2 linked regions of the Macaca fascicularis genome follow. The protein of the gene in region 1 purifies or fractionates together with the protein of each later gene. This does not show direct contact. Links are inferred from orthologs where the notes say so. Each region holds a gene or a part of one and is shown on either strand. Other genes may lie near its edges.

The links.
Region 2: the proteins of USP9X (region 1) and AMOTL2 purify together in Homo sapiens (affinity purification with western blotting; 3 studies listed by BioGRID). This does not show direct contact. The link is inferred for Macaca fascicularis from reciprocal best matches to the Homo sapiens genes USP9X and AMOTL2.

The regions. Positions count from the first base shown.
Region 1 is NC_088395.1:41,066,935-41,070,684, reverse strand, and holds the start of USP9X (ubiquitin carboxyl-terminal hydrolase 9X), read right to left. Parts: upstream 2,199-3,750; 5' UTR 1,918-2,198; intron 1,651-1,917; exon of another isoform or gene 890-1,650; intron 1-889.
Region 2 is NC_088376.1:37,267,066-37,270,715, forward strand, and holds part of AMOTL2 (angiomotin-like protein 2), read right to left. Parts: intron 3,033-3,650; coding exon 2,719-3,032; intron 2,129-2,718; coding exon 1,908-2,128; intron 1,344-1,907; coding exon 1,164-1,343; intron 391-1,163; coding exon 332-390; 3' UTR 1-331. UniProt on the Homo sapiens protein: Regulates the translocation of phosphorylated SRC to peripheral cell-matrix adhesion sites. Required for proper architecture of actin filaments.

The DNA of each region.
Region 1 (3,750 bases):
CGCTACAGAAATCCACACAAATAATTGAAGAAGCCATCTATACACCTGCTCTATAACTCTTTAACTTATTTCACAATGAATGAAAAATCAGCCATTTATCCAACCCTAAGCCTCACGTCACAAGAATCTGAAGATCTGATCACTAATAAACTCGCACATGCTAATATTTGCAGAAACAGTTAAAAATAGAAAGATAATAGGTCCAAGCTAGCTTGGAAGCGATTTCTGCACTCAAAAACCCCTTTCACGGCTTTGGCCCTCTGCAAATTAAGCGGGGTTAAGGAAGTGTAGGAGGCCGATAACCCAGCTCCGACTCCAGGAGCCCAGGGCCGGGGAGAAACTGCGGGTTATCGCGGGAGGGTGGGGGGAGGCGGACAAGTCGTCAGGCCTGATAGCCAGGCGTAGCCGAGGCCTAGCTCCCCGACTCCAAATCACTCCACCTCAGTAATGGCGTTTGGTGTCAAGTGGAACCAGACCGGGCAGGAAAGCGGCCGCCGGGCCGGGGGCGGCCAGCCCCCAAACCGACCCGGGCCCCGGGTGCGGACGGCGGGGGGGCTGCCCGCCACGCCCGGAGACTCCATCCTCCTACTCGGCCCCAGACAGGACGGGAAGGGGGAGGAGGGGGAGGGACGGAGCCGTCAGCCATTTTCCCTTACAGTCCAAAACACACAAGACACGCTCTCGGGACACCGGCTCCACACACAACACGGCCCCGCGCGCCCGCCCAGCCCGGGCCGGAGGAGGGGGAACGGGGAAGCCCCGGCCCGGCCGGCAGCCGCCGAGGGAAGAAGCTCACACACACGCACACCCCCCTCGCCCTCCTCCCCTCACCCACATCCAGCTGTTGGCCCCGGGAAGGCGCGTCGCCCCGGTGCAGCTGGCCACTCACCGCACGACACAGACGTCTTCTCAGAACCAGGGCACGTGGAGGCGGGAGGCAGCAGGCGACGCTGGGGCTCGGTCTCGGGACAAGACCTACCCTGGGTGCATCCCAGGCCCGTGGGTGACCGGCAACAAAGTGTATTGAAAGGCTGCGGCGGCCGGGCTCGGGGCTGAGGGCGTCTCAACCAAAAGGCTGCACGCCCGGCGCCGGAACTCGCTTCTCGCCGCGCCCGCCTCCTCCTCCTCCTTGGCCGGCTACGGCCCTCTTCCCCCTTCTCCCCTCAGGCTGGGGCTCTCGCTGAGCTCAGACGGGCTCCGGGCGGTGCGTTTCTCCTGCGTCACCTCCTCCTGCTCCTCCTCCTGCAGCGACGGCTTCACCTTCCCCTAGTCGCCGCCTCTGTCCCCGTTCCGGGCCTGGTGGCTTTGCAGCAGCTCTCTCCTAGCTCCCGGCGCCGACCCAAGCACCGGGCGCTAAGGCGGCCGCCTCCCGCGAGAGAGAGGCGGCGGCGGAGGGCTCCCGCGAGGCCCGGGAGCTATGCAAGGCGGGGAGGGGCTCGGCGCGGCAGAGGCCCTGACGGGGCCGGGTGCGGAGAGGTTGCGGCTCCGGCGGCGGCGGAGACTAGCGTCCGCAGCCGCGGATGCCCGTCCTCGTCAATATGGCGGATCCGGCAAACCAAAAAAAAAAAAAAAACCGCTCGGCCAGTGGCGGCGGCGGTAGCGGCGACGGCGGCGGCAGCAGCGGTGGCGGCGGCGGCGCAGACTCCCACTAGCCCCAGAGCCGCCCAAGACCCGAAGTTCTCCGCCCCCGTCAGACCCCGCCCCTCTCAGGCCCCTCCTTTCGGGCCTCCCCCTGCTCCTGCCCAGCCCCCTCCCGCTCAGCTGCCCCCTCTTCTCCCGCCTCCACCCCGGACCGTCAAGGCTGGGAGAGCAGCGCGAGCCGCCGAGGGGGCCGGGCTTGGGCGCGAGCCGCTGGGAACCCGGAGAGCTAGGGTGGGGGAGGGGAAGACAATGCGGTAAAGATTGTTCGCGCAGTACCGTTTCTTCCGGCTGGCCCCTTCAGGGTCGTGCTACCGCCAGAAATCCTGTTCCATGCCCCTCGGCTCAGGAGCGGGACGAGGGCAGAGGTGGCTCTAGGACCGAAGTTGGGGAAGGGAGGCCCGAAAAGATCTGGCACACCACGCCGGAGGGGCTGGGCGGCAGGGACTGGCGGGGTGTGCGGTCACGACGGGGTTAATCGCGTGAGCCGCAGCCGCGTCGCTCATAGTTTGACTCTGGCCGCTTGTTTTTGTTCCATTGTGAACCGTGGCCCCACCGACAAGAACCCGGATGATGACGTCACCGGCCTCCCCCTTTTCCGGGATCGTGGGGGGAGGGGCGCGGAAAGATGAGATCCCGAGACCACGCGCTGGGCTGTCGCCGCCGCGGTGCCTGGAGGTCCCGGCGGCGCAGCTGACCCGCGTCACGTGACGCACGAGCTGGCCGGGCCACTGGGCTGCGGGGGCGCGAGGTCCCGAGGGCCTGGCCACCTGCTTGGCGCCGATAGGGGGAAGGTGTGGCTATCTCCTGCAGCGGAAGGAGGGGGCGTGGGGAGTGAGGTCCTTTTCCCCACCCCGCGAGGGAGGTGCTCTGGGAAACACTTTCACACGATCGCGCAGCATCAGTACTTGAAAGCGTTTAGGCGTCCTCACAGCGTAACTGACGGGACTGACAACCTTGTTGGCTATAGGAGCCCTTCAAACAGACCAGGAAAGAAAAAAATTATAAAGTACCCCAGACGGCTTAGCGAATAGGCCGTACTTGATATGGCAAGATTAGCCTCCATTGCCAGATCATCAGCACGATTCGGTGTTAGAACCCGGAAGAAACTTATGAACCCATCCGCTGTGTCATGGACTATTTTCTACATGTTTATATTCCAAAGTGCAGGCGTAGGAAAAACTTAGGCTAATCTCAAATTAATGGGGTGCTTGGAACAATTCTATACAGTCTGCCTAGGATGCCCAAATGAAGAGGAAATTAACAGTTCCTAATTTACAGATTTCCTTTTGACTTAAAACTACCTGTGGACATCAAATGGCATGCAAAATCATAGTAAAACCTTACAAAACGAGATTTTATAGAGAACAGGGTTGAATTTAGTTATGCTATGATTATATCAGTTTGTAATAAAAGACTGTTAAAAATGGAACCAAACTAATTTAGGTGACAGTGAAAGCAAGTTATTGGTATCTTAAATTTTTAAACCATTTCTCTATTTAGCACTAGATTGTTTACAAATTTTTCACCACAAAATTACCTAATAGGGTATCCAAGATACATCATTCATAGCCCTAATAACTCTTAGCATATGTTACCTTGTTTTTGTAATTATTTCCATGAATCATTTGCTTACCCACTAGCTCATGGGCTTCTAAAAAGTAGACACGACCACCCGTGTACACTGTAGGCTGTTATCTTCGATTTTAGATAAGGAAACAGAAAGGGTAAATGATTTGCCCAAGGTCAGGATTGGAAAGTGTTGAACACTGGTCTTTTAACCCTATCAAAAGTGCACCTTTAACAAGGATTGTCCCCTCTCACCAATTCTGTTCAATATTGTACTTGCAGTTCTAGCCTGAAAAAGAAATGAAAGACATCCAGATAAGAAAGGAACAATTAAACTATCGCTACTTTCACATGACATGATTTTATATATAGAAAATCTTGGGAAATCCACTATAAAAAAAACCTAATAAAGCCAATAAGCAAGTTCTGGAAACTGCAGGATATAAGATCAATATTTAAACATCAGTTATAGTTTTACACACTAGCAATAAACAATCTGAAAATTAAGTTAAAATTCCATTACAATAGCATCAAAATCAATAA
Region 2 (3,650 bases), on another chromosome or scaffold:
GGCAGAGGGAGCTCAGCTACCTTTCTGAGCTGTCAGTTGCTACCCCAGTAGCAGGCCTTGGGCAACAAGTCAAGGCTGAATCCTCATTCTCCATAAGGCCGGGAGGAATGTGGGCTAAGAAGCAGAGTCTTCTGGGGGTGCTGGTGCTCTCACAGTTCTCCTCTCCCCTGGGGTCCTCCTCCTGAGCTCCTGGGGCCAGATGGTCAATGGGAATGAGAGTCTGGCTGGGGAAAGGGACAAAGCAGCGGCTGACAGGCTGCTGAAATGGCTGAGAGTGGCACAGGGCAGAGGAGGGGAGAGAATGGCTCAGAGTCCTGAAGCACCACCTCCTTCAGATCAGTATCTCCACCATGTCTGACAAGTCCTGGACTCTGGATGTAGCTACAGAGTCTGGAGAGAGACAAGAACACAGGCACATGCCAATGAGTGTTACTAGATTGCTTTTAAAATCCTGGCACATTTTAAATACAACGATCTTTCTTCACCAACTTTTCCCACCTCTGCTGCCCAGGTTCCCAGAACTTGGCCAACCAAGCACAATGCTCTGCACCCTCTCAGTGCTCAGCCCAGCCCACCAACCTCCGATGTGTAAGATGCATTTGTTTCTAACTTTGAACTGGTTGGAGGGCTTAGACAGAGCAATGGAGAGCCTGAGGGAGGGAGGCTGCAGCATTCTTTTCATGCCTGTGGTTTTCTGAGATCAGGAGGCACAGGCAAATATGCAAAGGCCAGTGTGAAAGGGGAGTGGAAAAAGAAATGGCATCTTCTCAGATTTCTCTTTCCCGGACTCTCAACAGGCTTCCAGAGTGCCATCGGCATGACTTGCAAGCTCCATTCTCTTGGATAATCAAATTGGAAATTAACTATGTAGGGAAGACCATGAAAGAGGAGCTTAAGTGCCTCCCATCTGGTTGCTTTCTTTCTGAATTCTGGATCTGCCTCTAATCAGGGTTTCCAATTTCCCTATTCATGCAGCCAGCCACCCTTCATGTTCACAGTGAGGTGGGCCAGGCACGCTGCTCACCTCTGGCTATGCAGGGCTCCCCATGGAGTACAGGCAATGACCCCGAGGGGGCTGGGAAGAAAAGGCTTTGGTGTTCCAGTTCACACCCCAGTGCTCCCCTGGCCCTGCCTAGCACAGAAGTGGGGTCAGAAGGACTTACCCAGAGAGGCTGCTCTCTGGCTACTGCTGCACCCCAGAAGGCTGTCAGGCTCCGGTGGCAGGCAGGTGGAGGTGCTGTCTGGGGGGCCGTCAGTCTGGGTGCTCCCATCTCTGCTCCCGTGTTTGGCATGGGCAGCAGGGGGAGGTGTGACCACTGGCTCCTCTGTGGGTGCCCTGTCTGCTGGGAAGGTAGGTGGATGGTTATTGCCACACCTGTAAGATGTGGCCCTGGTGAAGGACACTGTAAGTTAACTGTCCTTGCTGGGGATTCAAGGTGGAGTGGGCTGCTCTTGATCTGCAAGAACTTTAAGACTAAAAATGCTCCTATTTTAAAATGGGAATGACTACCAGATTGGATTGGCTTCCAAATGTTTTGGGTGGTGGGACCCTTCTTTGTAGATTAAATCTTCTAGAGTTTCTGTGGCATCTGCTTAGAAGGAAGAGTGGAGGGGGCTTGCATAGAAGGTGCATCTGCACAGGAAGCTCTATTTTTCTCAGTTCAGTGGCTGGGGCTAAAGCATGATGGAATTTACGGCGATGGGGACGAAATACCCCTCTTCACACTGGCAGGAGAGCCATGGGCTGTAGAGTCACTGGAGGTAGAGAATAAGCCAGCTCCCCTGGGAGACAATCAGGAAGCCCTGGCTCCCATGAGCCTCAGTTCTGGGAGGAAAGGTCTGGCAATCTGTGTTCAGGCCCAGGAGAAACTACCTCTCAATCTATCCCAGCAGCAGCCTCCTCTTACCTGTAGTCAGCCGAGCAGGGGCGTCCGCTGCTTGTCGCTCACTAGAAGAGAGCCCTTGCCAGCCCTGGGTTCCTGCTGCCGCAGCCACGAAGACAGATGGCACCGACTTGGCAGGCCGTAGGGAGCCCTGGGTGGCCTTGCCAGGGTCTCTCCTGGAGCGCTGCTGAAGGACCTTGATCACTGCATCCTTCTCCAGGATCTGGGCATGGAGCACCTTTAACCTGAGGGGTGAGAGGCCATGCCCACACTGTCAGACCCATAGATCCAGCCACCCTTCCCGCCTCATAGGAGTTAGAGGAAAAGCACCCCCCCTCCCCTAACCCGGCCAGGCTGGATCTTTCTGTGCTTGTAGCAGGGACCTAGAGGGGGCTTAGAAATGGTACCACAGCTCTGGCATGTGATGCCCTTAGAGCCCAGGCTCTGAAAACCACCAGTGCATAAGGCCCTGGGCCCTTCCCACACCAGGAAAGGCAGGCCATCAAGGGTGGGTTCCAGAGTCATCAGATGATAGTGGAGGCACAGCCCTCATCCTGGAGGGCAGCACTCCGGAGAGAGGAGGCAGGGCCTAAGCCCTAAACGGCACCCAACACCTCCACAGTAAGAGTCTCCTGGGTAGACCAAGGACTCGGTATTTCTAGGCAAATGCAAGTTTACAGCGCCTGGTGTGCCAAGCATGCAGGTTCAGCTTGCTTGAGGGACTGCTGAGCTGTGTGGGGAAAGCGGCTTGTTTATCAGGGATCAAGGGCAGGGCAGTGACTGGACATTGCCACCCGCCTCCCAAACCTCAGGTGCCTGGCCTGCAATGCCGAACCTGCTTTCCATCTCCTGGTGCCTGTGGCCACCAGTGAGCAGACCCTCATTGAAGCTGCTGCTGGGCGAGGGCTGCGGGGAGTGTCGGATGAGAGTGGTGTCACGCTGGGCAGCAGCCGTGGCAGCCGCATCCATGGCAAACTGCCTCATGGCACGTTCCTCCAAATACTTCTGTTCCCACTTGGTCATGTCGGCCTCCAGCGCCAGGATCTGCTCCTCCTTCTCGCGCAGTTGTTCTGACAGCCGAAGGGCGCTGAGCTCTGGGGACCCGCCACTGCCACTGCCACTGCCACCACCTGGGGTGCCTGCCTGTCTCTGCAGAGCAAGGAGTGGAGACCGTGGTCAAGGGTGGAGGTTGGGGTGCGGCAGCCACTGGTCTTCGCCTCCACACAAGGACTGTCACTCTTACATGTGCGTGTTCGGCCATACACAGCATACATTTCCCCATCCTTCCTCTACCGAAATGGGGGTACAGCACAGGTCCCCATACCCCTGCCCTGAATCCTATGGCCAAGGGCATAGAGACCAAACAAATAATCCTCCGAACTGGCAAAGGGGGTGCTATCAATAATTATACTGGGAAAATTGGTGTAAATTAGAACAGAACTGGGCAAACCGGGGGTTCAGCCATGCTAACTCTGTCACAAGGGTAGGTTTGGGAGTGGAGAAATAGCTATTTGGTTTGTAAACACCAAGAGTTGTTTACACAGAAGTCCAAAGTGAGGTTAAGCACTATGGATTAGGGCAACCATGTTTCCTCCCAATCTCAGGGAGGCATATAAAAGCTGGCTGGTGGCTGGGCGCAGTGGCTCATGCCTGTAATCTCAGCACTTTGGGAGGCCAAGGCTGGTGGATGACATGAGGTCAGGGGTTTAAGACCAGCCTGGCCAATATGGTGAAACCCCATCTCTACTAAAAATACAAAAATTAGCT